Linked DNA regions of Mus musculus: all the other regions are reported to be linked to region 3. The links are microRNA targets in miRTarBase. Many come from high-throughput screens and were not tested one by one. Region 3 holds a microRNA gene; each other region holds the end of a gene's coding sequence.
What was found. The annotated mature microRNA mmu-miR-343 reads UCUCCCUUCAUGUGCCCAGA and lies in region 3 at 3,483-3,502, opposite strand. An mRNA with a match to its seed (bases 2 to 7 or 8) in the 3' UTR can be bound and repressed. Matches are read on the target gene's strand: a 7mer-m8 pairs with bases 2 to 8, a 7mer-A1 pairs with bases 2 to 7 and ends in A, and an 8mer does both.

Region 1 (5,072 bases), not on the chromosome of region 3:
TGAACTGGGGTTCTCTGCATGTAAACAGCCAGTGTTTAATCACTGAAACTCCTCACTTTCAATTTGGTTGGCTCAAGAAAATACACAGCTGGTATTCTCAGGATAAACACATTACCTGGCTTTAAAGTAAATCTCATCATATTCTATGAAAAACAGAAACTCAGATTTTGCTAGCTACTTAAGAATGCCAGTACAAAATGTACTTGAATTAGCACATGGCTGGCCTCTAAATATGGGTCAATGTCCAGTTTAGACATGCAATGAAAGAGAAACAACTCTTCATAATCCTAACAAGTACTCAACCATAACTCCTGTTAAAACTACAAATAAGGGGCGACTTAAGGGCACTGGTCACTCTTCCAGGGGACCCAAGTTCAATTCCCAGCACCCACATAGCAGCTCACAACTGTTTGTAACATGGTGGGTCTGACTCCTCACACACATAAAGACCAAATACTAATGCACATAAAAAAATTTACAAATGACTTCAATGATTGTAGATGTATAGGAATTTGCAGGAAAAGAATTTAAATGACAAAATGGGGGCTTCATAAACTGGAAACCTAGAAGAGAAAGGAAACACTTGAAGGGCTAGAGAGATGACTCAGCTGTTAAGAGTCCAGAAAACACAAGTTTGATTCACAGTACCCACATGGTGGTTCACAAGAACTTGAAGGCGGCTGGTGAGATGGCTCAGTAGTTCAGAGCACTGACTGCTCTTTCAGAGGTCATGAGTTCAATCCCCAGTAATCACATGGTGGCTCTCAATAATCTGTAATGGGATTCTATGCCCTCTTCTGGTGTGTCTGAAGACAGCTACAGTGTACTCATATACATAAAATAAAAATCTTTAAAAAAAAAAAAAAGGTTGGAAGATCCACCCTCTTCTGGCCTCCTGTGGCATTGCATGCACATGGAGAAATACAGACACTATACCCACACACACAAATTAAAAAAAAACTAAAGACACCTGAAAGCTTCACTAAAGGGCCTAACAGAAGAATCAGTGAACTAGAATCCAAAACAATAGAATGTATCCAAATTAATATTCAAAGAGAAAAAAACTAGTTTCAATGCCAGTATCTGGTTATCTAAGAGTCCAGTAGAGAATAAAACTGAAAGGCCGTATTTGAAAAATAATGGGTGAGAATTCAGTTAGAACCTAAGAGTACTGTGGTTGTACATACTTGCAGTCTCAGCACTTCGAGTTGAAGCAAATTAATTTCAAAGACAATCAGGGATACACAATAAAACCTTATTCAAAATAAGTACTTCCCTTCCCTCCCCAATAAACCCTTGTTTTTTTTTTGTTTCTCTGTATAGCTCTGGCTGTCCTGGAACTTACTCTATAGACCCAGCTGGCCTTGAACTCAGAAATCCACCTGCCTGTCTCCCAAGTGCTGGGATTAAAGGCAGTGTCACCACTGCCCAGCCAGAATTTTTTTCAAAGGGTTAAAAAATGGGCCTCAGCCTATCATCCTTCTGATAGTAGTGTGTTTCTATAATGGAGCCTGACATGGTGGCACAGGCCTTTAATGCAACACTCAAGAGGCAGACATCTTGAGGTCAGCCTAGTCTACCTATTGAGTTCCATGATGGCCACAGAGCTAAAGACCCTGTCTCAAAAAAAAAAAAAAAAAAAAGACGGTGGTCTTTAAGATTTACCAGCGAGAACCTGATGACCAGGACCCCTGAAACCCAGATAAGGCCACTGAAATGGCATGCATTGCTAATCCCATTCGTATTGCCAGAAGTACTTGAAAGCTTGTAGTGAGTAAGAAAATAAGAGACCCTGCTTCAAAAGGTAGAAATATCCCACAAGCACACACAGGTTAAGTGGCCTATAAGTCCTCACTGTTGAGTATTTCTTGGAATCAGTTCCATCCTCTCCATCACTTATCATTTAGTAGGCACTTAATGGAGGACAGCAACCAAAACTTGTTTTACTACTAGAACCTTGAGAGCCCTTTTATTCTATGGCAAAGGGTTTTACCACTAACTGAATGAAATTAGCCTGTTATAGATGGTAATCCTAAGGCTATAGATCCAGCTTAGAAGTAAAGAGTACATGCTCCTCTTCCATTTCCCCTTCCTTTCTACCTCAGTATAGGGTCAAGACCTACACCCTTAGCATCTGCCTATGTTCCTTAAGAGTTGAAAAGGTTCAGGCAGATTGAACTGAAAACTACATTAGGTAACTCCTATCACTAGCATCCGTAGGAAAAAAGCCACACTGAAGGGGTAGTGTATAGTCAAAAGCAGGTGATAAATGGTCAGGAGTGAATCTTTTTGTTTTTTGAGGCAGGGTTTCTCTGTGTAGCCCTGGCTGTCCTAGAACTCACTCTGTAGACCTAGGCTGGCCTCGAACTCACTCAGAAAATCACTTGCCTCTGCCTCCCAAGTGCTGGGACTAAAGGCGTGCGCCACCACGCCCAGCTGAAGTGAATCTTTCAAATGAGAAAGCTTTGTTGCTCTTTAAAAGACCTCTACAAGCTACTCTACCACCAGAATAAGAGCTTTGTGTTTATCTATTAGGTGAAGGCAGATTAACTGCCTTCCCTCCACCCTTTCTTCAGTTCTCATGTTGCCACCTGCTGGAAGAATGAGAAAAGAAAGCAAACAACCATTTCCAGAAAGGTTTGCTGCTTTTCTAAAATGTCTGCCTCGTTTAGGGAGAGCTATTCAACTGTAAATCTTCTGATGATCCTATAGGTTAACTATGTCCTCAATCCACAAAAAAATGATGTCTGCTAGCACCAGAGTTGAACCTTTCCTTTGCTATTGTAGTCTTGGGGGTCTTCTGTGTAGCACTGGCTATTCTGGAATTCCTTAGCCTCAAATTGGTCTGCCTTCTAGGATTAATGACAGCTGAGTGCCTTCAGCTACATGCCATTAATCTTTAACAAGGAGGTTAACATAATCAAGGGCTCCACTCCCCACAGCAAAAGAACCCACCAAACTGTTCCCTGCTACACAAATCTAATGCCCACGCCATCCTCACTTTTAGACAGGACTGCGACTGCAATGGTCATACCACATACTCAAGCCACCAGACAGGTGCTAAGCGCAACCCTACAGAGGGTCTTTGGTTGAGAATAGCTGACTGGTCTTTCTTGAAAATCAGTTTGTTGGGAGTGGGACTTGGAAAAACACCTACAGGAAAGTTTCTATTAAGGTTATCTAGGCACCCATGCCTTATACAAAACAAACAAAAAACAAAAAAACCAAACATCCTTGATAGATCACTGAAAAATTCATTAAGTACACAGGCCAAGGGCCACTGTATTATCCCTAGTTAAACTGGACCTCTGACAACCTTTAAGTCAAAAAGGCCACTGTTCCCTCTGTTGGAACTTACAAACCTTGTTTCCCAAAGCTTCTCTCAAATTTGACAGGTCTTGTTTTTTTTTTCAAGACAAAGTTTCTAAGTATCCCTCACTATCCAGCAACTCAGTTCTGCAGACCCAACTGGCATTGAAGTCATAGACTGCTTTAGCCTCCCATGGGATTGGATTACGTCACTCCCAGCTTGCTGCTGAGACTTGGTACTCAGTGGCTAAAACTCTGTATTTGGTTGTCTGTGAGGTTTTTTTTTCTTGTTTTTTCAAGACAGGGTTTTTTCTCTAATAAACAGCCCTGGCTGTTCTGGAACTCTCTGTACACCAGATCAAACTCAGATCTACCAGCCTCTCCCTCCCAAGTGCTGGGGTTAAAGGCATGTGCAACCATCCTGGCTATGTGAATTTTTCAACCCAATGGGGTACCATTCCTTGTCCAGGTCATTTCAGATTGCACTGTACTGTTTGTTCTTATTATGCTGGGAATAGAATTACATACCACACAAGCTCTTGTATGGTATTTCCAGCACTGATCCATGTGCTCTATCAACCACTTTTCCAGTACACACCCTTCTAAGATACAAATTAAATCTTCCAGATCAGAATCATGATGAAGCTGTTCCCCACCAATTTCCACATTTGTAGCTGGGAATTCTTGAAAGCAGTAGGAACACAACTGAAATTCCCACTGGGCAGAGTTGGTCTTGCCAAGCTCTTAAGCAACAATCCAAATGTAACCTCTAGGAAGTATTAAGTCTGGCAACAGAGTTTAGGATCTTTACTGTCTTGGAATGTCCTTAGAAGGCTCTGTCATTGAACAGGTAACAGAGTAAAAACCCCAGAGTCCTTTCTTTAAAATGAAGAGGGAAAGAATGGGATGGAAGGAACTATTCAAACTTCGTCTTCTTTCCTTGTGGCTTGAAGTCTCCCCCTCCTCCTCTGCCGCCTCGGAAGCCTCCTCTACCTATAGGAAGGAAAAACATCAAAGGGTGATACAATTAGGACTGACCTTCCCATTTAAGGTGGTTGGTTAGGACACAGGTTTAGGAATCCGTTTCCAGTTCCTTTCCCTTCCTTACCTCCAAAGCCTCCCCGGCCTCTTCCTCCAAATCCACCTCTTCCACCTCTGCCTCCACCTCTGCCTCCGAAACCTCCTCTGCCTCCACCTCGACCACCAAAGCCACCTTCACCCTTAGGTTTGGCCCAGTCCAAGGTAACTTTGTTTCCGTCAATTTCTCCATCTTCCATGGCCTCCTTGGCAGCTTTGGCATCTTCCTCACTATTAAAGTCTACAAAACCAAACCTAAAACAGAAAAGAAAAACAAAAAAACCTCACCCATTAAGTAAACACATTTTAAAGTAACACAATAAGTACCAAGTCACCCAAGTAGAGTGACCAAAGTACTCTTCAGGTCGAGAAAATCGCCAGTATCTCATAATGTCTCACACAACAGCCAAATATACTTCTGCAAAAACAGAAGATAAGTGCCAGTTCTGTGAATTCTCTCTTCTTCTCGTGCGAATCCATAATCTATCACTGATGGACAGAAAGGAGCTCAATGAGAAGATACTGCAGACCCAAGTTCTCCATGCAGAATTCACTAAAAAGCAGCAACACTACTACGCCTTCTTACCCTTTGGAAGAACCAGTTTCCCGATCAGTGACTATTCTTGCACGAACAGAGCCCTCAAATGATTCTTTTAAGGTCTCTTCAGTGGTATCCTCAGACAGAC
Region 2 (5,072 bases), not on the chromosome of region 3:
CTCACAGAAGCCCCTGAACCTGGTATTTTTAGACTACAGGGCAGTGTTTTACAGAAAGTTCCCCAGGTGCAGTTTGATTACTTTCTTATGATATAACCTGGAACGGCGGGATGGACAGACGCCCTGCTCCGGCCATCTGATCAGCAGATACATGCTGTGATTTCTCCTGGTGATAGTGGTGTGAGCTTTGGTCACTTGGTTAAATCTGCATCTACTGTCTTTCTTGACTGCAGTAGAGCCCTTTGCGTCTAAAACACAATTTTCATGGAGGTTCCCATGCAGCACTGACCCAAGGGCTCAGTATCGGTCAGAACCAATCGGCACTATTGCTGTAGAAGGTGGTCAGACACTGCTTCTTAGCTGTTAACTCCTGTGACCTTTGCCTCTTCCTCAAGGGTTCTCAGCCATCTATGAGAGCATAGGGTCCCTCAGACAAGTGCTGGAGGCCAAGATGAAGCTGGACAGGGACCAACTTCAGAAGCAGATCCAGCAGATGCAGAAGCCAGAGACCGCCATGTGAAGACGGCTGGGACAAGGACCTGACAGGAGACTGCACGTGGGGCTAAGAGCCAGATGGCTCTGCAGCCACATCGTGGCTATGTTCCGGATCCCATCCAGGGTGTGCATGTGCCAAGAAATGCGCTCTCATGGGTCTAAGCGTTTACCTTCAGTCTTGAAAACACCCTTTACTTAAAATCGTAAATACAATTTTTACAACGTTATTTCCCTAAGTGCAGTTGAGCCCGATTCCCTCAGATTTTGAAAGGCTTTTATGAATGAAAAGAATTTATTTTCAATGCTTGATGCTCTAGCCAAGACTACTATTTTGGAAAAAAAAAAAAAACCCACCATGGTGATTTTTCTTTTGATTAAAAAGTGAATGAGTTGCTACAGGTATGTATTGCCCCTCACCCTACATTAAGAGAAGTCCTGGTAGAGTTCAGCTTTAAGTCCACATCTGGATTGTATTTTTGTTGTCTATATGGTTTTTTTTTTTTAAATGTTGGGTTTTTTTTTTTTTTTTTTTTTTGTAAATCACCTGTCTTTTGTAGAGAAGAAGTTTAACACTGGGAGAGAAAAAAAAAAGCCCTGCAATTTATATAATGAAAATAGTTTTTTAAAATTGATAATTGCCATACAGATTATAAATTAAGTAGAAACTTACAACGTTTATCTAGATCCCACAAGGCACGATATTTATATCCACCTAGGGGTACCGGCTTTTACTATTTAAAGCTATTTTTGAAACCACTCACAACCTGTGTAGTGATAGCCATATATTTAATAATGGGATGGTGGCTAAGCAACCTGTTTATCGAACAGCTAATTGTTCATCAGTTGTAATGAATGTTAGAATTTTTCAGACTTTACGATTTACCTAAATGTTCCCTAAACAGGCACTACGTGCTAGGGTTTATAGACATTTGTTGTAACTGTCTATCTTGTGCCTTGGTTTTTTTTCTTACGTCGCTGTACTGTCCTCTGTAAAAAAAAAAAAGAAATTACCCACAAAATAGACAGTGTGGTAAACACATCAGGGTTGTGGTGTAAGACTGAGATCCTATGTAATTTTAAGCATCCTAATGATTTCATCGCTGTCATGGTGGGCCGCACTCAGCATCCTTCATGGAATAGCTGCACACACCTTTGTATGGACAGAGAGGCAAAGCGAGACTACATTTGTAATACTGCGAGGAGACGGGTGTCCCGGCACCTTTGCAGGCGTTTTATTTTCAGTTGCCATGTTTGAGTCATTGAAGACTTGAGCCTGTGCCATTTGCACTTCTGTGTTAAAGTGAGGGCACAGAGAGAGAGAGGGAGAGAGAGAGAGAGAGAGAGAGAGAGAGAGAGAGAGAGAACAGGAGCATTTAAAAGTTCCAAGAACAACACCCCATCCTTTCCTTTCCTCTCTCATGTGCAAGGACTCAGGAAAATCAAAAGCATTTTCTATTTCTAGAATAAACCACACTGAGATTCTACCTGGCTCTTACTGTTGACCCATGTAAGATATGCTGCTAAAGTACCTAATATTCTACTCTTGGGACCTTGAAAACTTTGATTTGAGTTTGGATGCATGAGAGGTTATGTGAGGAACATGTACCCATCCTGCATTTCTTCATCTCCCCACACATCGTTTCGTCTCCATGCAGGAGGATCTGCCCACCTAGGAGAAGTCAGCGATGCTTCGTGACCAGACAGTGTGGTTTCTTCTTTCCCTGTGTGCTCGGCTAGCCATGTTTTATCGAGTGATTAAGCACAAATCTCACTCAGGACAGGGCCACACCTCCTCAGTGTCTCTCTCCCCTGGGGACTCTAAGGGGGAAGGGTGAGCACACAGGACACTTGGGAGGAGGAGACAGGGGACACCTGCTGACCCTGGCCTAGCAGGTGATGTAAGCAGGTGACACAGCTGCTGGTGATACCGCCAGGTATTCGAGACGTTGCCGACCATGTGACAAGACACTGTGGCAGGGACCCTCCACCCTGGCTGCTTGGGGTCACTTGGGGAGTTTAAAGAGCAACTGACACCAAACAACCTCCTGACCCATTAAGTCAGAGCATCTGGGAGGCAGTCACCAGCACCAACCAGTATGTGTCACAGCCCTATCCCGAATCCCCCCCACCCCCCCACCCCCAGCGATTCTGTGTGCTATGGGGAGGCCAGCCATCCTGCGAAGACAATGGAGTACTCTTCTCGCCAAAGTTTAAAGGAGAATCAGCTGCCCTGTCTTTTCCTTTACCAGAGATTTGCAATAAAGAGAATAAAATTTCCAAATAAGTGTGGCATGGGACTTTTAAATGCGAAGAATCTTTGAGTGTGGGAAGAAAACCTTGGCAGGCCAGCTGCCTTAGGGGACGTACTGCTTGATTTTCTCGAGGCTGCCTCTGGAGTCGCGCCAGTGAGCAGTTCCTGGATGGCTATGTGCCAAGGACCTTTTTAAGTCTGTGTTGAGGCTCTTTTTAAAAATTTTTTAAAATCCCATTGGGTGTGTGCGTGTACATATGTGTATGCGTGAGTATACGTGTGTGCACGTGTGATACATACGTGAACATTGGCTCACGGAGGTCAGGAGAGGGCATCGGATCCGTTGGAGCTGGAGTTACAGATGGTGGTGAATCACTTGACATGCGTGCTAGGAACTAAACACCTGCTCTCTGGAAGATCAAGTGATGCTAGCTGCCCACCATCCCCACAGCCCCTCGCTGAGATGCTTCTGTGTGCTCACTCATTTTGTTTAACAGTGTCTAGTATATACCATTGTCCGTCATTTTACAGTCACGGAAAAATGGCACAACTTACCTCAAATCCTACTGCTCATAAGTAGGAAGCCCGACTCTAGGAAGCACCCGATTATGCATCCTGGCTTTTCTATCTGACAGGCCATCACCCCCAGCCTCTGTCTGACCATCCTTGCTCATTTCGCTTATTTTTTTAAAGACATTCTCACATAGCCGACATTGACCTTGAACTCACTATGTGGATGAGAATGCCCTTGCACCCCTAATCCCCCTGCCTCTATTTCTCAAGGGCTGGGATTAGAGGGGCGAGGCACTGTGCTTGTTATTGTTTTAAATTACATTTTATGTATCGTGTGTGTATACACACATAATTGTATGCATGTGGGGGGTGCCACAGTGCACATACAGAGGTCAGAGGAAACCTGCAGGAGCCAGCTGTCTCCTCCCACTATGGGTTTTATATACACTGATGACTAGACCACTCCTTGGCTCGGCTAAGGGGAAGGCTTTTGTTGTGGATATGAGATGAGGCCAGCCACAGGCATCTGGAAAAATCTAGATCAGAGAGAAAGGAGTAGAACGGACAGGACCAGGGTTCTGTGAGAGAGGGAAGACCGTAAGAGACCAGAGAACCAGAGAGAACAGAGTGTGAGAGGCAGGAGCTGAACACAGAGAAAAAGCATAGCAAGAATTGCAGAGTTCTAGGGAGAACAGAGGATCTGGGGAGGGAAGCCATGAACTGGAGGGAGGGAGGGTCCAGGAGGAGGTGAGAAGGACTGGCATGGGAGCCTGAACTTTGAAATGTATAACAGGGACTGTGACACTAAAGACTCCAAGAGCTGCTTGGAAACCAGCATGAGGTTTGCTATGCTAATAGGCACCACAGGTGGCCACGTCTCTTATTTATTTATTATAATTTATCTATTTTTATCTGCACTGGTATTTTGCCTTTGTGTGTGTCTGTGTGAGGCTGTCAGATCTTGGCGTTACAGACAGTTGTGAGCTGCTATGTAGGTGCTGGGGATTGAACCCAGGTCCTCTGGAAGTGCTCTTAACCGCTGAGCCATCTCTCCAGCTCGGTAGCTATATATCTTTTATGCCAAAGATAAGGGATATAACTCCTTTTGGTAGAACATCAAAGAAGATACTAGAAGGTATAAAGATCTCCCATGTTCATGAATTGGCAGACTTAAGATTTGAAAGAAGTCTCCGGGCGTGGTGGTGCATGCCTTTAATTTCAGCACTTGGGAGGCAGAAGCAGGCGGATTTCTGAGTTCGAGGCCAGCCTGGTCTACAAAGTGAGTTCCAGGACAGCCAGGGCTATACAGAGAAACCCTGTCACGAAAAACCAAAAAAAAAAAAAAAAAAAAAAAAAAAAAAAAATTGAAAGAAGTCGTGCTACAAAACAGCTTATTGATTCAACGCAATTTCCATCAAAGTTCCTATGTTATTCTAAACAGAAGTAGAAAAAAATACAAAATCCACACGGAAACACAAATGATCCTGAACTGCAGAAGCAAGCTTGAACAACGCTGAGCAACGATGTGGTAAAACACCACGGCCATAAACGATGTGGTGGTGAGGAAAGGGTTTGTGTCAGCTTACAACTCTCAGGTCGTGCTCCATGGCCCAAGGAAATCAGGACAGGAACTGAAGCAGAGACCCCCAAGGGAGAGGTGCTGCTTACTGGCTTGCTTCCAGCAGTTTGCCCCGCTTGCTCTTTTATACAGCCTGGGAACTCTGCGGAGGGGTGGGGTGGCTCTACCCACAGTAAGCAGGAACCTCCCACATCCATCATCAATCATGCTGCACAGACCTGCTGTTTAGATAAT
Region 3 (5,072 bases):
GGTTGCATCTCACCTGAAGTGCAGAACGGGGTTGGCGATGGTGGGGGTCCTGTCGTCAAAGGGCTCAATGATAATGGTGAAGCCTGGTGGAGGGAGAGGCCGGGGAGTCTCAGTCACTCATCACCCCGGGACAGAACTGCCCCAGCCTGCCCACTTCTGCAAACCCTCAGGTGCAGAAGCAGTGAGCTGTGGCTTCATACATGGTCCCGCAGGTAGCCAAGCCCGCCATTCCCCAGGCACCTCTGTCCTCCAGGCTCTCACTCCTGTCCCCGCAGAGCAACCAGAGACATGTCATGGAACCCCAAGTTTGCCAGTTTCCACACTTCCCATGACCCCAGAAGGGTGTCATGCACTCTCCCAGGCTGAAGAGCAAGATTTGCCTGCTTTCCTCCCTCCCATTCCTCACCGTGCCTCTCTGCCACCAACACAGGCTAAGTAGAGGCAGGGAAGAGGGCCGCTCCTGAGGGAAGCAGCAATGGCTTTGGCAGTAAGAGGCTGGTAACCAGGTGGACCTGGCCTTGGGTGCCTTCCTGACTGGCTTTTTTTGTTGTTGTTGTTGGTTTTTTTCTGTTGCCAGCACAGGGTACCATGACTGGGATAACACTTCACAACCAAGGACAAGAAAAACAAGGATAGTTCATATTCCAGAGTCCCACTGTGAGACACCTGAGGGCCCCCTTGCCCTGAGCTGCTGTGCCAGCTTCCACTTGGCTGAATCCCTGCCCCAGAGGACAGTGCCATGGCTCCTTGCAGCACCGCTCCACTTCCCAGGGTCACCTGGAACCATCTTTGCTCCTCATTCTCCCCCAGGCTGTGACTCCGGGAAGGGGAGGATGAGGCTGTTTCAGTAGTGCTGGGCCTGGCCCCATTTGCTAACTGAACAAATGAATACATTCATGGGTTCTGTTTCACTTGGCAAAAATGATCGGGTCTTACGTGTCCAGCCCTTGCCAAGGACACAGCAGTGACCAACACAGCCTCAGTCCCACCCATAAGAGCTCCCTTGTACTAGGGGAGACAGCTATCCAGAGAGTAATGATCCCAGGCGCAGCTGGAATAGAGAAGGGGCAGGCCTCGCATAGGGTGGGCTGGGTGCCTTTCTGAAAGCTGAAGGACTCAGGCAGGTGATAGGAGGCGTAGACAAGGAGGCTTCTACCGATTGTGATGTTGTAGGTGGGGGAGGAGGAAGAGACAAAGGCCAAAGAAAGGGGCATGGTGAGTGCTGAAAGCTTAAGGAAGCAGGCAGCTGCCAACAGCCTGCAGTGGGGCTGATGGGGGGGGCCTCCTCCTTCCGAGGCCCAGGCTGGCCCAGCTGCAGGATGCCAGCTGACCTGGTTTCCTGGCTACGGCAGTAATCCCCAGGGATAAGCCTGAAAACTCAGTGTGGAGCTGGGGGGGTGGGGGGGTGGGGCAGCACACAACACATGGACAGAGGAAACATGACAGATGGACCCAAGTGACGGACCCAGAAGGTCCTGGGAGGCAGGCCTCTGTGGATCATCAGTCTGTATCTGCCTCCCTTGAGAGCTTCATGCCCAGCGCCATGCTTTTCCATCCTGGCCTCTTCCTCCCATAGTTCTCCCCAGCACACTCTCCTGTCCCCATTGTCCACAGTTCTGCATCTTCCTGCTACATGAACCTCGAAAGCAACAATCTCACCAAGTGCATCCCTTGCCCAGAACCTGCCATGGTTCCCTGGTGCCCTCAGTCACACACGAGGACTCCTCACCCCACTGATGGTGAGGTGACCCCTAGTGTCCTTCTGGTCAGTGCCACAGCACAGCCCACACACTTGTTCTCTGAACACGAGAATCTGACCACGAGGCTCCTCACTCAGGCACTCTGTATGGTCTTGCCCCCTGCTAATGCCCCACCCATGTGGCTGACCCCCAAGTCCTGCTGTCAGATCCCCAGTAGAAAGGCGAGCTCACCCTTGGCGTAAGTGCTGACGAGAGTGGCGAAGTTAGCAAGGAGTGTGAGCGGGGAGAAGTCGGCCAGGTCGGCAATCTCCAGGGTGTGCAGCAGGGAGCGCAGGCGTTCAGCACAGAACCTGAGAGGCAACGGGGTCAGGAGCGGGAAGCAGCAACAGGCCCGACTCTCACCATGTTTCCCTGGGCACCTGGGCATTGTGTGAAGCTACCCCATACTGTAGAAGACCCCCAGAGCTACCACTCCAGGCTGGAGCACAGCACATACAGTGCACAGGCTCACTGCTCACACGCAATATCCTGTTAAGACTCCCGGCTAGAGCCCGGCGTGGTGGCGCACGCCTTTAATCCCAGCACTCGGGAGGCAGAGGCAGGCGGATTTCTGAGTTCGAAGCCAGCCTGGTCTACAAAGTGAGTTCCAGGACAGCCAGGGCTACACAGAGAAACCCTGTCTCAAAAAACCAAACCAAAAAAAAAAAAAAAAAGACTCCCAGCTAGCAGTCACTCTGTTTCTGTCCAGCCAGTGTCACGGGCCCAACGCTCAAGGAGGAATAGCCACATACTTTCTTAGCCTCACAAAGGCTGTGTCACCTGCTCATCACCCAACATAGGGACACGTGGCTGCGGCACTCACTGCCAACCACACAGTCCAATGGATGCCCTCCACATCCAGTTCTGACCTGCCCCTTAGCCTTATCTATGGTCCAGACCCCTTTATCATCAGCAACAAGGCTTGGGCCCGTGGTTCCCCGTGCAGGCCGCACCTGAGGGGCTTGCGCTGGATGCACACCCGCTGGGCCAGGCCGCTCAGAAAGGCAGGTGGACTCTCCTGCACCACATGCTGCACGCGCAGACGCCACTTGACATACTCCAGCAGCCGCCGCAGAAAGCCCAGGAAGTGCTCAGCCGTACGGATGGAGCCAGGCACAGCCTCTGCAGGGAGACCCAGTCAGGTGGTACAGGGGTGCGTGTGCGGGGCAGGGGCTGGGTGGTGGGGGAGTGGGGAGTAGCTCACCCTGCAGCACCTCGTCCGGCAGCACAGGGTTGGCCAGGTGGGCATCTGTCTCCCGGGCCACACTGGCCTCCCGCAGGCCCTCCACCAGGCGCCGGTACTCATCCCGCAGCCGCTGCTCATCCGTCTCCTTGATCCTGATGGGGACATGGGACAGGAGCTGGAATGAGGCAGGTGCCCAGGGCACTGAGGCACACACAACAGTGGGAGCAGACAGGCACCTGAGCACGGTCTTCTGTAGGGTGTCTAAGTTGCTCTGGCAACGGTCCAGAGTCCTGCGGGTGAGGTTGACACTCATGGAGTCAATGCAGACATTGTCTGAGGAAAGAGCAAAGGGATGAAAGCCGGGCTCAGGCAGGCCTGGGGGCAGAGGCAGAGGGCTGCCACTGTCTGCACACCCTGATGCCCGCCCTCCTCACCGATGTTGTGAGCTTCATCGAAGACCACAACAGCCTTGCGAGCCAGCTCTTTGGATACCAGGTCTGCGATCTTGGGGTCCAGGAGGTAGTGGTAGCTGTAAACCACCACGTTGGCATGCAGGATCTGGGCACATGAAGGGAGAGGTTGCCCTGGGCTCTGCTACCCCCGCCACACCCACTCTATCCCAGGTACACAGAGGTGCCACAAAGACAGACACAACGACGGGTGGAAAGATGGACAGGACTGTTAGCCTTTTGTCTAAGCTCCACCTCACAGTTACACGGCAATAGCCAGGTGTGCCTGAATCACTATAAAAGGGGCTTCTTGCCCCCCCCCCCTTGCTTTCTTGCTTTGCTCTGCCTTCCTGCCCCTGCTCTATCCTCTAGTCCCTTCCCCCATCTCTCTCCATGTGCTCATGGGCAACCCCCCCCTCCCTCCCTCCCCCGCCTTTCTCTGCCTCTACTATCCTCTTGACACCCTTCCCCATGCCCTGAATAAACCCTATTCTATACTATACTGTCGTGTGGTGGCTGGTCCCTCAGGGGTAAGGGACGCCTCAGCATGAGCCTGCAGAGGCACCCCTTTCCCCACACCTCCATAGAACATATCTCCCCCTTTATCTTTTTATAAACACATCAAGGACCACCCAGGCAAGGCACAAGAAAGCAGAGATACTAGGACGGAGACAGACGATCCAGACAACAGACATAAAGACGTAACAGCACAGAGTCAAGTAGACAGATGGGCCAGCAGAAGGATGGGCACGGTGGCTCATGCCTATACCCCTGACAGCTGAGAACCTGAGGCAGGGTTATTCCAAGTTTGAGGCCAGCTGGGCTACAAATGAGATCCTGCCTCATAAGGAAACAAAACAACTCTTCACCGAGTATCGAGCCAGGAAGTAGGGGCACCAGCCCTGGCGCTGCCCTAGGGCCTTCAGGTCATCCAGGTTGTAGATGCCCGCAGGGAGCGGCATCTGGCGTCCATGGATGTCAAATTCCTGGGGCAAGGCCAGAGGGTGGCAGGGTCAGGGAGAGCGGCTCTGGCGTGGCCCCCACCCTGCTCACCAGTTCTAGGCTCTTCCCTGTACCTCATAGAAGCGGCAGTGAGGCAGGCTGGCATCCTGCTGGTACTGTGCCCGCACATACGACGCCGTTAGGCTGTGACACTTCCCATCAACATCCTTCCCAAAGCGCAGTGGAGTCACCTGAGGGGGCGGGGTGTCAGGGGACAACATAAAACAGAGACAGGAAGTGGTGCATATCAGCTATTGTAACTTGGGTCTCCAAACTCAGACACCAGGAGTAGTACGTCAGCTAGGGTTTGGGGGCAGTGGAAACCTTCACCTGATTTGGTATTTGGTCTTTTGTTCGTTTGGTTTTTGGTGTTTAAAGACAGAGTTTCTCAGTATAATAGCCCTGGCTGTCCTGGACTCATTTTATAGATCAGGCTGGCCTTGAACTCACAGAGATCTGCCTGCCTCTGCCTCCCGAGTACTGGGATTAAAGGCATGCACCACCACAACTGGCTGATTTGCTATTTGCTAAAAGAACTTCCTGCAGTACTGTAAGTGTGGAGCATGGCTAAAATCATCCCATCAGAGCTGGACATGGCAGCAGGTGCCTGCAATCCCAGTCACTCCGACACTGAAGTAGGAGGAATACAAACACAGGTCAACCTGGGAACCTGGCAACCCACCAAACAAAAGGTGG
Region 4 (5,072 bases), not on the chromosome of region 3:
GCTCCAAAGGTTTCTGGAGTTTGGCAGATCATGGGGTAAGAGTGGATCAATACAATAATCCTGTTCACTTCTCAGAAATGACATCAGTGTTCGCCTGCCAGACAACCCCAGTGTCGGATTGACAGGTGACAAAGTGTACAGTCACAACCTGTGGGATGGTTTCTATTTTGATTTGGATATGAAGTGCCCACCTCACCGAGGCTTGCTTGCCAAGAGTTCGGGGGAAATGACTGGATTAATGCCTTCGTTGATGGATCTATAATATAGCGTCCTTCGGAGGTGGTGCACGGGAGAGGTGCGGCCTAGTTTGAGAAAGGAGGTTACTACAGGTGTGCCCTAAAAATTAGTTACGCTTGTCCCCAATTCCTTGTCTCTCCCTGCTTACTGCATACCATGAGGTAACTTTGCCCCAACACGCCTTTGTGCCGTGTTTTTGTTTCATCCAGGGCCCAGAAACACAGAGTCAGATAAGGACAGATTGCCTCAAGTCAAAATATATCCCCATGCCTTTCTCTCAGATGTTTGGTCAGTCAGGAAATATGACTAGCAGAGCTTCCAGTCAGCCTTGCCTCTCCTAACATTCCTGCCTTTGTGCTGTTTTCTGTGGTAGTCAACAGGACAGACCTGTATTCCTGACTGACTGATGTTATGCAGGGGAAAGTGTGTGGCTTCCAAAGCTAAAACCTAAAAGGCCCTGTAGCTTCTACCTGGCTCTCTCGGATCACTGACTCTGGGAAGCCAGGTCACGTCACGAGGACACACATTTCTACGTTAATCCGTGAGGTGAGCAACTGAGACCTCCTGCCAGACAGCTAGAGCCAAGTTTCCAGACCTGTGAACGCACTCTCTCAGTTGGAAATAGAGCCTCCTGCCCAGTCAGCCCTCCAGATGTCTATAACGTAGCCCATAACTGGATGACGACTGTGTAATACTGCATGAGACACCTCTGCTGCTCCTGTGTTTGTGACACATGGGAACCATGAGAGATGTTTGTCATTGTAAGGCCCTAAATTTAAGGACAATGTTTCCATAGGAAGAGCTAACCAACATTTTTGACGCTAATATCTTACCCAAAGAAGTGCCACTTGGCACACAGTCAACCTCTGGCCTTCCCCACTGCAGACTATGGGAAAGGAAGGCAACAGCCGATGGCGTCTGAAGTCTAAATGCAGGTATCATTAAAGTCCTTACACGGTGGACATCCTGTGCCCACTCCATCCCGGAGCCATGAGCTACACGTAGCTGTTGAGCAACTCCATTTTTACATGTTAAAGAGCCATGGTGGCTGGTGGCTGCTGTGCAAACTGAGCAGGTCTAGCCCATTCAGAGTTCACGCTACAGGAAAAGCGGTGAACTACGAGAGCCAGAAACTCACCCAAGGGACTCGAGGAAACAGAACTTAGGGTCCCTAGAGAGATATGAGACCAGGTGCTGTGAAGGCCGACCACCCCCACAGTGAAGGGACTGTGAGCAATGGAAACCCTCTGATAGGCCCTCACTATGTGGATTCAAATCCTACCTCCGCCACTGGTGAACGATCGATTTGGACACGTTCTTTTAACCTTTCAGATGAAGTTTGTCCCATTTCTAACGACTGTTTCCTGCAGCTGTGCTAACAGGCCCAACCATGAAACACCAAGTTCCTGGCTGGTGTAGTTAAGTCCTCTGGCTGCTTCTTCCCATGGGGCCACATGGTGCCAAACCCAAGTCACCAAGGTCAACGGGCCACAAATCGAGGCTCCACTCTGCAAAGATAAGCTGAGGACAGGTGGGATCCTTGGCAACAGGCCCTTTACTGCTTATGAGACTCTCAAGTGTGACAACTATAGCACAGCCCACAGAGACCAGGCAGGTGACACGGAAATAGGCAGGAACTGTGTCACGAAAGAGCCAGTCTGGGGCCTTGTTTCCTCTCAGCCATGTCTGGTTATAGTACAGTCTTGACAGCTGGCAAAGTCGATTTGTCTTCCAGCTCTAAGGCTTTTATGAGAAGTACTACGATTTCTACACACAGGGACTCAACTGAGGGTTATTTTTTCCTATTTTGATTTATTAAGTAGCGTGTGTGTCCACGTGTGTCCAAGTGTGTGTGGCCCCCACGGTTCACTTGTGGCAGTCGGAGTGTGACGTCAGCAGCTGCTTCTCTCCCGTTGTGTCCAGGACTTACACTGGAGGCCTCAGGCTGGCGTGACAAGTGCTCTTAAGACTCTGAGCCATCCCAAAGGCCCGAGGGACTCTGTGGCCTGTGTTTGTTTTTAAACCTAGTGTTGCTTAATTAAAATGGGGAGAGACAGGATGTGCTGCCCAGAGCAACGGGCACATTTTCTGGCATCTCTCCTACCTCCAAAGCCCTACTGCTGTCTCGTGTCTGTGCCCGTGTCTGGCACCCCAAAAGGTCTCCCTCTGGCTTCATTGAGTTCAAGGGATACAGAATGAATGGCTTGTAAAAAAAACCCTTTAAAATGGGCTGGAGTGAAGCCTCAGTGGTTAAGAGCACTGGCTGCTCCTCATGGAGGACCTGCATTCAATTCCCAGCAACCACATGGTGGCTCATAACCATCAGTAATGGGGTCTGACGCCCTCTTCTGGCACGCAGGTGTACATGCAGGTAGAATACTCATACACATAAAATAAAAATAAAGCTTAAAAAGAAACCCAAAATCTTATAATGGCATCGGGTGTGATGGCACACCTCTTTAATCGAGGTAGAGGCAGGTCAGCCTCTTGAGTTCTAGGTTCACCTGATCTACAGAATGCTTTTCAGGACAGCCAGGGCTACACAGAGAAACCCTGTTTTGAGAAACCAAAAATAAAACTGACAGGCTGACAATCTAGAAAGTACCAGGTTTTATTATCTTTTTATCAAAAAAAAAAAAAAAAAAGATCAGTAACAGACAACAGTGTGAATGGTGCAGAAAAGGAGCAGGCACCAAGGCTAGAAGAGGACCCAGCCAGCTAGGACCCTGCACGGAGGTGGTGATGGGGGCCTCACAGGAACAGAGTATGGTTGAGAGTGGTGTGATCTCCCCACCACCCCAGGCCTTTTAAGCCACTAGCTCTCTCCTCTGTAAGAGGGAGAGTACCAGATGACAGGAGTCCCTGGGGCCTCATCACCTTTCTCCTGGTCCCCTTCCCTTGCCCAGGGAGACAAGCAAAGCTGAGCAATGACCTGCTAAACCAGCTTAACCCTCGGTGCCCGGGGGATGGTGACTGAGCATTTTGTGTGGCTAGTGCAACCGAGGAATGACTTCCAATCACGTAGTCTGAAGTGAACCGAGTTATACAGCCACACGAGGCCACTGTATTGGATTGTGCATCTAGAGCGCCTGGAGGAAGCAGGCCCAGGAGCCCCTCCTCCCCGGCAGAAGGCACAGTGAGGGTTCGAGTCAGGGACCCTAAACTACTCTAGCTCATTCGCAAGAAGGCACCGGGAACAGGGCAAGGTAAGAGGGCAGCAGCCTCTTCAGCCACACGAAAACTCACGCAACCATCCAGCCAACATGGGACCTGTAATATCATTCTATAGCCTAAAAAAATATATTTATCTATTCTTCTAGAACCAAGGAAGGATAATATATTACAAGAACACAAACAAAAATATCCCGCTATCCCCCTACATTATATTCTGGAAACTGCTAGAACCCTGTAGCTACTTCGTAAGATAAAGCAACTTCAGGAAGGGCCAAGGTCAAAAACAAGGACACGGAGCATTAAAAAAAAAAAAAAAAAAAAAACATGGGGGACAATAGAAAGATGAAAAGCAGCCCTGTCTGAAGCTATAAATAGTAAAAAACAAAAAAAAATCATAAAAATCATATCTCCAACTCTTCTCTCATTTTCAAAAAACAAACAAAACATAAAAAAACCACGAAACACAAACTTAGCTGTTGCAATGGAAATGTTCTAGATAGAACATCTGTGTATCCCCCACACTCAGCCCAGGCGCAGACGCTCCCATAAAGGAATGAACCATTTAAAAACTTAGTTTTATGAATCTCCTACAAACACACTTCAGTGTGAGCTTTCAGCACTTCACCCCGCCCTCCCTAGATTTTTTTTTTTTAAAAAAAGGTTGAATTTCAAAAGTCACTGGACTTAGAATGCCCCCAGGTACGCCACAGAGACTCTGCAGCGTGAGCAAGTTCTCATGGCAGACTCATCTCAAGGCGCAGAGGGTTCTGGCTCCTTGCCCCAGCTCCTGACAGATGGATAGGGTGTACAGCATGTGGAAGGGAGCCGGGATTCACACAGTAACCCCTTGCCTCTATAATCAAGGCAGTCATAGATGGGACATGTTTACTACAGGATCTAAACTGGTCCTATATTCTATTCTGGAAATTTGGAACAATGACAACAAAAGACCCAATTCTAGGCTTGCCTTCAGAAAGGGCAAGTTTAACCCCATTTTTCTGCCAGAGCAACTGAGACACAGACACACAGACACAGCCTCTCTCTCTCTCTCTCTCTCTCCCTCTCTCTCTCTCTCTCTCTCTCAGGCAGCACAGTAGAAGATCACATCTCTTCTGACACCAGAAAGGTGACTAGAGATGGAGATACTGACAAGTCAGCATTAAGGTGCCTGCTGCTCTCTGCCAACGCCCGCCACCCACAACCCTCCACTCCTCTCCCCAATAAGTCCAAGCAGCGCTCGCGGGAGGAAGCTTCATGCGTAGAACTCATTGGTGGGGGCTTTTTTGTAGATGGGTTTCTTGCCCAAGTCGTAACTGCCTTCGTCCTTCTTCTTCATGCGGTACACCAGCAGCAGGATCAGGAAAACGGCAAAGAGGATGCCTACCACGCCGCCCACGATCAGAGCTGCAGTAGGAGAGAGCAAGGGGTGAGCTGGCTCCAGGTCCATGTGCTCCTCAGCCCCGCCCACCGCCAGTCAATCTCACCATAACCACACCCCCTAGACCAAGCAAGAGGACACCTCATTAGCATCGACCTTCATGACTTCCGTCAGAGAGGAAAGACTAAGATCACAGCTAGAGTGGACCAACACCACTATTTCATCCCACATCTGCTGCCCTAGCCCAAAGGCTCAGGCTAATTCCATGCATCACGCAGTCTCT
Region 5 (5,072 bases), not on the chromosome of region 3:
GGAAATTAAGTCTACCCCAGGCCTGCCCAATATGAGGTATGGAGTAGCCCCAGCTACTCATCAGGTGTGAACTTCGACTATGCTCCTCACACCTGATGGGGAACTACAATCCTGGATTTGGTTGGTTCAGCCACTGGGGTCCTGCCTTCTGGCCCCTAAGTGGTTGGGGCTTTGGCCAGTCGTCTTTTCAAATCTCCCTCCACCCTAGTCACTGGGCATATCCCTAGACCCAAATGCCTAGTAAAGTCCTGTACCTCATGGTTTCGTCAGCCTGGTTCTCACCTTATGCTCAGCTCAAGGTGCTGTTTTGAGTAGGTTTGGCTCACAGGAAGTAGCACTTAAGGAAGTCTGGCCTTATGGGAGGAGGTGTGGCCTTGTTAGAGGAAGTCTATCGCTGTGGAGGCAGGGCTTTGAGGTCTGATGTGTATCCTCAGGCTCCACCCAGTATGGAAGGAGAGTCTCCTGGCTCCTCCAGATCAAGATGTAGGACTCTTGGCTCCTCCAGCACCGTGTCTACCTGCACACTGCCATGCTTCCTGCTATGATGATAATGGACCGAACCTCTGAACCTGTAAGGCAGTCCCAATTAAATGTTTGCATTTATAAGAGTTGCCTTGGTCATGGTGTCTCTTCACAGCAACAAAACCCTAACTAAGATGGCCCCCTAGCTCCCACTTTATACCCTCCCCACCCTGAACTGGGGCTCAAACCCAGCATCTCTCTCATGCTAACCACCCCTCAGCCTTCAAAGAACTCTTCAAAGTTTTTATGGTTTTTAACAATTGTTTGTTGATGTATGTGCATGAGTTGTGGGCACGTGTACCATATGTAGAAGAGATCAGAAACCATCTTGTGGGAATTAGGTTTTCTTGTTCCACCACATAGGGCCTGGGGAATCCAACACGTCATCAGTCCTGGCTCCAAGAGCTCCTCCCTACCTACACAGAGGCATCTCACAGCCCCAGAGAACTCTTCACAGAAAGGAACAGTTCGAACTCACTCTGACTCCAACTCCAGGCTGGTCTTAAACTTCTGATCCTCCTGCCCCAACCTCCCAAGCTGAGATTACAAACTGCCAGGTTGAGATGCTCCAACTTCTGTTTGTTTGTTTGTGTGTGTGTGTTTATGTGTATGTTTTTCTGGTAAGGGTCTCACTTGGGAAGCCCTGGCTGTCGTGGAACTTGCTGTGTAGACCAAGCTGTGCTCTTTCTCACAGAGCCCCTATAGCTCTGTTTCTCCAGTGCTGGGATTAAAGGCGTGCTGGGGTGCACATTGGACAACTTTGCTTTTTTATAGACCTCCTCCCAGTTTTAAAAGAAAAAGATCCAATTTTTAGATTCAACTTCCTTACTGAAAAAAAAAATTGCTTTTTCTGTAAAGATGTTAGGTATAGGGCTGATGAGGTAGTTCAGCAGGCAAAGGGGCTGTGTAGGCAAGGATGGCTTTGAATTCCTGATCTTCCTGCCTCCACCTCCCAAGTGCTGGCATTACTAGATATTTACTCCTGAGCCTGAAATTTATGCTAATTTTTATTTTTGCACTGAACCTGGGGGCCGCCGTGCACATGCTAAATAAGTACTTTGCTGCTTCATGTAAACATGAACTAAAGTGCCTGAAGTTTTGAATACTTAAGAAATAATCATATAAACCATAGTAGAAGATGATCATCTAAATTGCTATCAGCTGATATCTCAGTCGGGCATGGATTAAAAATTATGGCTGGGGCACAGCTCATCGGGCTGAGTCTCACATATGCAGGTTCTGGGTTCAGTCTGTAGTATGACAATGAGGTAAAATAAAACTACGTCTGTGTCAGAGCCATGTAAGGACCCCGTGTTTTTTGTTTTGTTTTGTTTTGTTTTGGAGACAGGGTCCCCCCTCCCCATCACACAACCCCCATGGAATGGTGTTTTGCTCACATGTATGTCTATATGCCGGTGTTGGGTTTTCTGGGACTGAGAATTCTGACAGTTGTGTGCTTCCATGTAGGTGCTGAGAGTTGAACCAGGGAGGGTCCTCTGGAAGAGCAACCATGCTCTTAAACTTGGAGCCATTTTTTTTCCAGTGCCCAGAGTTTCTTTGTATAGCCTTGGCTGTCCTGGTACTCGCTGTAGACCAGGTTGGCATCGAACTCAAGAGATCCGCCTGTCAAGCACTGAGATTAAAGACCTGGGCCACCAAATCCAGTATGACCCTTGGCCTTTTGCAGTCAAGGCACCCTTCAGGACAGGGATCTATGGTATGTGCCTTCCAAATCTGTTCAAATACAAGTGTGACTCAGGACAAGGGCAATCCCCTGTGGTGCTATTACAGCAGGGGCCAAATCTCCACTGTCGGCCTGGGAGGCCCTGACACTGCTGGGAAAATCCTGCTTTTCTTTTATTGATTGATTGATTGATTGATTTCTGCTTTTCTTGTCCCCATAATCCCTAGGCTTCGAGCATTTGGCTCCAGCTTAAAAGTGGAACTCATTGTGAAAGAGACCACCAGGCAACAGATAGAACAAAAACATATCCTGGAACAATTGAATTTGCTCCCTTAGTTTATTTATGCTGCATCGGCCCAGAGGCCAGATTCACATTCAACATGCAAGTACTATAAAAGTCCCCAGGGCTCACAATTCACCTACCCTCCCATCAAGGATAGAACTGTTTGGAGATGGTGCGGGAAGGGTCCCCACTTTGCAGATGGGGAGACTGAGGCCAGACACAGCACAGGTGCTGTCCCTGTCACCTGCTGCTGCTCCTCCTTTGAGTCATTGCTTCACCCACTAGGATCCTGCCTTACCTTGACACCCAGAAACAAAACAAAGGGCTCCAGAACCTTAACTACTGACCTACCCAATACACATTCAACCTCACAGCATGAAGCCTTCCCTAGGGCCTGCCAATCCCTGTTCAAAGGGGCCGCATGTCCTAAGAGCTTCGGGAAGCTGGACTGACCCTGTCCTCTGACTGCTTAGAAAGCTGAGCTCTGGCTTCTCCAGAAAGTCCGATTCTGAAAAATGAACCAAACCAATCTGACATTCACTGCTGCTAAAGCGACGTAGGCAGAGGAGGGAAAGGTGAAGAGAAGGGAGGTCCCCCAACTGCCCGTGGCCTTGGTGCATCTGGCCCATGATCTGCATGCTTATATGCACAGTCCCATTCTACAGACTTAACTCAGTATGGCTTTCGGCCTCTCCTCACAGTGGAGCAGGATGGTGTTTTGGGAATTCTCCTGTTCTTCACAGAGTTCTACCAGAGTCATTCTCTCCCACCGCCACCTCCCACAGAGGAGCCAGACAGGGTTCAAAACAACACACCCACCCTCCCTCCCTCCCTCCCTCCCTCCCTCCCTCCCTTCCTTCCTTCCTTCCTTCCTTCCTCCCTCCCTCCCTTTCTCTCTCTCTCTCTCTCTCTCTCTCTCTCTCTCTCTCTCTCTCTCTCTCTCTCTCTCTCTTTCTCTCTCCTCTTTCTTTCTTTTGGGTTTCTATATGTAGCCTGGCTGTCCTTGAACTCACTCTGTAGCCCAGGCTGTTCTGGAACTCAGAGTTCCAGTTGCCTCAGCCTCTTGAGTGCTGGGATTAAAGATGTGCACCACCAGAACCCAGCTAAGAGGACAGTTTCTTATATCTTTCTTTATCTCCACTCCCACCCCTGCTGCAGCCTCCGCCACTGTGCCAGTTCCCTCCCTTGAGACCAATTCTCCACAAATTGTCCTGTGCACAGGAAGGCCAGTGCAGCCAATAAATCTCTGAACCGGGGCTAGGTGTGCAGCTCAGTGGTAGGACATTTGCCTAGCATGCACAGGGCTCTGGGCTCAATTCCTTGTACAGTAATAAGCAAAATAAACAAAAAGCAACCACCCCAAATTAAAAAAAAAAAAAAAACTCTTAGGAACAAGCCAACATTAGGGACAGTGGTCTTAGAGCAAGGTTGGAGGGGAAGGGATAGGAAAGGTAGCCTGGGAAACTGCAGGAGAACAGGTCAGCCACAGCCCTCAGAACAGGAGAACAGGCCACAGCCCTCAGATCTATGACAGTGGGAGAGGCTTCTATCTCTAGGAAGCTGGGAGGTGAGACTCAGTAGAATATAAGGCTGGGGTAGACTTTGGGAACACAGGAGATGGGTGGACGCCCTGCAGGTGCAATTGAACATACATTTACACACACCTGCCCTTAAGTCTCTGCAAACACACACATTCCTAGCACATGTTTCTTATGCCAGCACTGGAACGTGTAAGTCTCAACACACACCCAACACAAGCCTGTACATATAAACTGATACACATGCATATATATCTTTTGTCTCTACATTCAGGAATATATATACACATTCCTGGGTACCTAGCCACACATGCATACATAAACACACATGCCTTACATACCTGCTTACATGTTAGCATATAGATATTCACTTATGCTTACTTGCATACATGCCAGCTAATACTCACATCCTTCCTTGTGTATAACCACTCAAAAGCCTGCAAATGCACACACTTGTGCACACACACACTTGTGCACACACACTTGTGCACACCCTTAGCCCTGGTCCTGGTGCCTGCAAGGTGCTTCCCTCTGTTGCAGACAGCGGATAAGCTCCTTCCGGTTGTCCAGGATGGTGTCAAAGCTCTCTTGCAGTCGGGCCTGCTGGTCGACCAACTGGTGCTGCAGAGCCCGGATCCACTGGAGCAGCGCCAAGCGCCGATACATCACCAAATGCGCGTGGTGTTTCTCCTTCTCCTGTTCTTTGTAGCGCTCCTGAGCCTGCAGCTGCTGCACGGCCTGGGCCACGGAGGGCAGAAGGGGATCCAGAGGGCTCGGACCTCGAGGGGTATCGCAGACAGGTTCTGGACTGCTGCTGAAGCTGTCGATGCTCAAGGAACTGCTGGCATAGCCAATGTCCTCCAGAGGAGAGCAGACACTGCTGGCACCGCTCAACTTCTCTGGCTCAGCACCAGGGATCTCCGCACCCTCCGGGGGACTGCGGACTCCGGCCTCAGGGAGCCTGGTGGCTTGGAAGACCTGGTTATCAGAGGGTGACTCAGAGGAGCTCCTTATCAGAATAGGATCCACTTTGCCTGGCACACCA
Region 6 (5,072 bases), not on the chromosome of region 3:
TGTCAGACTTTACAAAAGAAAGTTTCCCTAAAAGTAAGAACCTTCCCACCCTTCATTTAGGCATGACGTAGAAAGTTGGGACTTGTGTTGTTCTTGTTTACCCTTGATGCCAACATAGAGAATTAAAATGGAAGCTGCCCACAGGGAGGCTGTGGCACCTCACAAGCTGTGGCACTACAGAGGCTGTGACACCACAGAGGCTATGGCACCTCAGAGGCTGGGACACCACAGAGGCTGTGGCACCACAGAGGCTGTGACATCACGAGGCTCTGGCACCTCAGGCTATGGTATCTCACAGGCTATGGCACCTCAGAGGCTATGGCACCCTCAGTACCTTGCAGACCGTAGTGTAACACTGGTTTTCTTTCTCAGTTCATCCAGTGTGTCATGACCGTCTAACTCAAGAGCAAACTGTCTGAATATATTCAACATTCCAACTGGAACTCGCCCTTGCTTCCTCTCTGCCTTCAGTGCTGTGTGCAGACCCCACCGACAGCCACTCCCTGACAACCGTTGAACGGGATTATGACTTTATATAGAGCCACAGCTTCATTTTTCATTTTGATAATAAATTCCTTTGAAGTTTAATGATATAAAAACAAGTCTGTTATACCAGTCAGAACCTCCTGAGCCATTATCAATCATGCCTTATTTTCCTGCTAACCCTCTTTTATATAAAGTATGCAAAATGTTTAACATATATTACATATTTTCTTGTGATATATGAAATTTTTTCATCTTAGCTGTTATTGTTTCTTTCCCTGAGGAATGTGGTTAAAGTTTGTGTGGGGTATTCTTAAGTGGCATACATCCACAGTTGGGCAAAACAAACCAATGAACCTGGCAGTCCACATACTAGAAAGTATAAGTTTTACGACTTACTTGTTGAAAGCCTTATGACTTAGAGATATTGAATGGTTACTGTCTGCCTCCTAAAAACCTATAGATCATGAGGGGCAAATACTGTCACCAAGTTCTTCTTTGCCATCTACCCCAAACTTTTGTTAATTATACTTAAAGATCTTGAATACTGTCAGCTTAAATTGTCAGAAAAAGACTAAAGTGAAGTAAGAATATATTAACTGTTTATTTTTGACTAATAAGATTCTAGATGACTTTAATTTCCTTTATATATTTCTGTATCTCCCAAATTTTTAATAATGTGCATGCTTTCATTTTACAACCAGATGTCAGGGGAGGAGAGACAGCTCAGCAATACTCATGTACTGCTCTTATGGAGGACTAAAGTCCCCAGCGCCCATGTTGGGTGGCTTACTACTGCCTCGGGCCCCATGGTCACCTTCATTTCACCTGCAGATATCCCAGTGCAAACATGCATGCACACACACAATTAAAAAGTAATAAAGAATAAGTAAAACCAAGCAGGTTTCATTTTAAAAATTGTTGGCATTCATTTTTGAATGTCATTTGCTCATGATCTTTAACACAAGAAAGGAACTGAAATGAACATCTTAATTAATGATCTGCCTTTAACTACAGGGAGTAGGGTCTTCCTTCCAACTCAATTTCCAAGTATTCTCTAATAGCGTATTAGGTTTTACACAAACACACACACACAAAGGGAGAGAAAGAGATGGGGAAAGGAGGGGAGGGAGAGAGAAAGAGGAGAGAGAGAGAGAGAGAGAGAGAGAGAGAGAGAGAGAGAGAGAGAGAGAGAGAGAGAGAGAGAATTTTTTCCAAATGTTTAATCATTTGGCTTGCTGGAAATGCCTTGCTATGTATGTGCCTTGGACATTTTAGGCAATGACAGTACACTCAGGTCCCTATCTTTGAAAAGAGAAGACTAATTACCATTAAAGTAGTTCTGAGTATGCAAAGGTATATTTGAGTAAAAAGCATCCCCAGGGTTTTGTTGTTACAGTTTGGCAGCTAACAATGGTTAAGTCTTCTCTCGCTAGCAATGTATCTGTCTTGTTTCTGGCACAATGTGAATCTGACCATCCAAGTAAACGATTCACTTACAACTGGTGAAATAAACATTCCATAAGCATCTTCATCCTCGTTTCACAAATATATGTTCAGATAGTGTTTATATATATATATAAAATATATGCATATATTATATATTCAGTCACTTCATGAGTATTTATTCATTGCTAACTTACTATGTGTTTAGTTAATACTTAATGCTCAGGTTACATGTCAAAGTGGAATGCTTTCTGATGTGTCTTACAGTGGTAAACCTGAGATTCATTTCAGATTTTTTAAAAAATTCTTTCTTTCTTTATTTTTTTATAGTCTAGTGTTTATCCACCTCCCAGTCTGCCCTGTGATGGTTCCTCATCCCATACCTCATTCCTGCGCCCACCCCCCCCCTTGTCTCCAAAAGGATGTCCCTACCCCCCAACCCCTACCCCACCAGACCTCCCCAGTCCCTAGCGCCTCTAGTCTCTTGAGGGTTAGGTGCATCTTCTCTGACTGAACCTAGACCTGGCAGTCCTCTGCTGTAGATGTGTTGGGGGCCTCATGTCAGCTGGTGTATGCTGCCTGGTTGGTGGTCCAGTGTCTGAGAGATCTCAGGGTTCCAGGTTAATTGAGACTGCTGGTCCTTCTACAGGGTCACCTTCCTCTTCAGCTTCTTCCAGCCTTCCCCTAATTCAACTACAGGGGTCCCCACCTTCTGTCCATTGGTTGGGTTTATGTATCTGCATTTGACTCTTTCAGCTGCTTGTTGGGCCTCTGGGAGGACAGTCATGCTAGGCTCCTGTTTGTAAGCACACAATAGCATCAGTAATAGTGTCAGTCCTTGGTGGCCTCCCCTTGAGCTGGATCCCAATTTGGGCCTGTCACTGGACCTCCTTTCCCTCAGTCTCTTCTCCATTTCCATCCCTGCAGTTCTTTCATACAGGAACAATTCTGGATCAGAGCTTTTTACTGTGGGATGGCAACCCCATCCCTCCACTTAATGTTGTCTTTCTACTGGAGGTGGACTCTACAAGTTCCCTCTCCCCTCTGTAGGGCATTTCATCCAAGGTCCTTCCCTTTTGAATCCTGAGAGTCTCTCACCTCCGAGGTCTCTTGCACATTCTAGAGGGTCCCTGCAACCTCCTACCTCTTGTCTGTTTCCATTCTTTCTGCTGGCCCTTAGGACTTCAGTCTTGTCTTCCTTCCACCACCACCCTCCCTGTAATACCTCATCATGTTCCCCTTTTCTCCTCTCTATTCCCTTTCCCACCCAAGTCCCTCCCTCCCTCTGACCCATCCCCCAACAATGATTGCTTTTTTTCTCTCTCCTAAGTGGGATTGGGGCATCCTCACTTGGGCCCTTCAGCTTGTTAACCTTCTTGAGTCCTGTGGACTGTATCCTGGGTATTCTGAGCTTTTTTCTTTCTTTTTCTTTCCTTCTTTCTTCTTTTTCTCTTTCTCTTTCTTTTTCTCTTTCTCTCTCTCTCTCTCTCTCTTTCTTTCTTTCTTTCTTTTTTTTTTGGCTAAAATCCACTTATTAGTGAGTACATACCATGCATGTCCTTTTGGGTCTCAGTTACCCCAGTCAGAATGATTATTTTCTAGTTCCATCCATTTGCCTACAAAATTCATGATGTCCTTGTTCTTAATAGCTGAGTAGTATGCCATTGGGTAAATGAACCACATTTTCTGTATCTATTATTCTGTTATGGGACATCTGGGTCGATGTTTTATTTGAACTGTCACAAAGCTTTGTTCTGACCTGGGCCCATGCTGCCCAGAAAAGGACCTAGGGTTCCCAGAAAATGAAGAGCCTGGAACTGTCCTATAAAACCCTAATACTTAAGCTGCCCTGTCATTTGAATAAGCCCCAAGATGTGCTACTTAGATTTCAGTTCTGAATTTGCTTCCAGGTACATCCTCAGGTATTATATACTGTGCTTTATTATTCACGTTCTAACAGTCAATGGTTAAAGGCAAGTGTCCAGGCATCCTCTCTTTTCGTTTTCATTTCTCCAGCAAGCACTGGATCTACTCTTCATTTTGCCCGTGTAGTTAGGAAATTCCCTCCCCCGTGATGAATGCAGTATACCCTTCCCTCTCATTGGATGCCATCATACTTCATTGCTATAGATGCTCGTCCTGTGTTGCTTATTTCTGATGTCGGTTTGCTCCATTCTCTGCTTCCCGGGCAGTGCCTCCCGTCTTTCTCCTTTCCTCTTGCTCTCACTGTCTGGTACCTGTGTCTGCCACCCAGCCTGGCCTCATCCCCACTGCTGTCCTTCTCCTTTAGCTTCTTGAGTGCTGGGATTCTAAGGAGGAGCCACCACACCAGGCCTTATCGTCTCTTTTGAATTCCTTTTTCAGTTTTTCCTTTTCAGTTAGAGCATACAACTGGAGCATGGTGAATCTGTGGGATCGCACACCCCATTTGGGGATTGTTTTATTTTGGAGATGCACGCTTTAGTTTTATCACATCGGGTGATTACATGGTTTGTAAAGAACTTTTAGCACATTGCAGACTTCTATAGCAATGTAGCAGGTAGAGGCCTGGAGCATCCTAGCAACTGCTGCCAGACATTTGCACCACACAGTCAGGAGATTAAAAGGCTCTAGCTCTTCTCGTGATAGCGTGTTATGCAATGGTAACATCAGCCCTGAGGTGACACGTCAGTTATGTCAGCTAAGCCTTTTGGTTTTCTCCAGATTGCTTTGCATTGCTGTTTCAGGGTCGGTACAAATAATTATATGACTAAAGTATTTTAGAAACAAGGAATGGAGCTACATGCAATCACCAATTTTTAGTATTATAATAAACACATGCAGTCACTAACTTTTAATATTATAATAAATGTATGGGCTTTTTTCAGTGATTTCATGACTTCACCTATGCAGACCAAAGGACAAGGAACTGTAAATGCTACTGTAATGACTGATAACTCAAATGGCTGATTGGGACAAGCTAAAAAGACCAGGGGTAACCGGTTTCAGACAGTGAACCCATGAACCTAAAACAAACCCATCAAAGACTCAGGCAAGAGGCAGTAGAGGTACAGCCCTGGGCTGTGGGGCAAAACCTAGAGCCAAACTTCATGAGGGCAAGAGAATTCAGGAGACAAGTCCCTTGCTTCCTCACTGGAGAAACA

Region 1: the mRNA of Ncl is a reported target of mmu-miR-343. Seed matches in the 3' UTR shown: 7mer-A1 at 3,689-3,695.
Region 2: the mRNA of Fam81a is a reported target of mmu-miR-343. Seed matches in the 3' UTR shown: 7mer-A1 at 1,816-1,822.
Region 4: the mRNA of Sdc4 is a reported target of mmu-miR-343. Seed matches in the 3' UTR shown: 7mer-A1 at 4,467-4,473.
Region 5: miRTarBase lists 5730409E04Rik as a target of mmu-miR-343. Seed matches in the 3' UTR shown: 7mer-m8 at 3,670-3,676, 7mer-m8 at 3,374-3,380, 7mer-m8 at 3,338-3,344 and 7mer-m8 at 2,534-2,540.
Region 6: the mRNA of Sri is a reported target of mmu-miR-343. Seed matches in the 3' UTR shown: 8mer at 1,580-1,587 and 7mer-A1 at 1,611-1,617.

What each region holds. Positions count from the first base shown.
Region 1 is chr1:86,346,395-86,351,466 of GRCm38, forward strand. Ncl (nucleolin) reads right to left here. Exons shown (of 14, transcript NM_010880.3): 12 at 4,973-5,072; 13 at 4,418-4,641; 14 at 1-4,302. The coding sequence ends at 4,226. It overlaps Snora75 (small nucleolar RNA, H/ACA box 75), which reads right to left and starts at 4,891; the gene lies at 4,776-4,891.
Region 2 is chr9:70,086,215-70,091,286 of GRCm38, reverse strand. It overlaps Fam81a (family with sequence similarity 81, member A), which reads left to right. Exons shown (of 9, transcript NM_029784.2): 9 at 396-1,977. The coding sequence ends at 520. Among named protein-coding and RNA genes, the nearest start is that of Gm39369, 5.7 kb to the right of the region's middle.
Region 3 is chr7:19,385,118-19,390,189 of GRCm38, reverse strand. Mir343 (microRNA 343) reads right to left here and starts at 3,547; the gene lies at 3,473-3,547. It overlaps Ercc2 (excision repair cross-complementing rodent repair deficiency, complementation group 2), which reads right to left. Exons shown (of 23, transcript NM_007949.5): 6 at 4,451-4,567; 7 at 4,244-4,360; 8 at 3,360-3,483; 9 at 3,162-3,258; 10 at 2,944-3,077; 11 at 2,693-2,861; 12 at 1,932-2,050; 13 at 14-83.
Region 4 is chr2:164,421,423-164,426,494 of GRCm38, forward strand. It overlaps Sdc4 (syndecan 4), which reads right to left. Exons shown (of 5, transcript NM_011521.2): 5 at 2,825-4,815. The coding sequence ends at 4,664. Among named protein-coding and RNA genes, the nearest start is that of Matn4, 19 kb to the left of the region's middle.
Region 5 is chr4:126,611,824-126,616,895 of GRCm38, reverse strand. It overlaps 5730409E04Rik (RIKEN cDNA 5730409E04Rik gene), which reads right to left. Exons shown (of 2, transcript NM_001145950.1): 2 at 2,525-5,072. The coding sequence ends at 4,523. Gm40250 (a long non-coding RNA gene) reads left to right here and starts at 2,111. Exons shown (of 2, transcript XR_868150.2): 1 at 2,111-2,239; 2 at 2,434-2,529. It overlaps Gm46870 (a long non-coding RNA gene), which reads left to right. Exons shown (of 3, transcript XR_001784444.2): 3 at 435-563.
Region 6 is chr5:8,067,161-8,072,232 of GRCm38, forward strand. Sri (sorcin) reads left to right here. Exons shown (of 8, transcript NM_001080974.2): 8 at 373-2,154. The coding sequence ends at 399. Among named protein-coding and RNA genes, the nearest start is that of Sri, 13 kb to the left of the region's middle.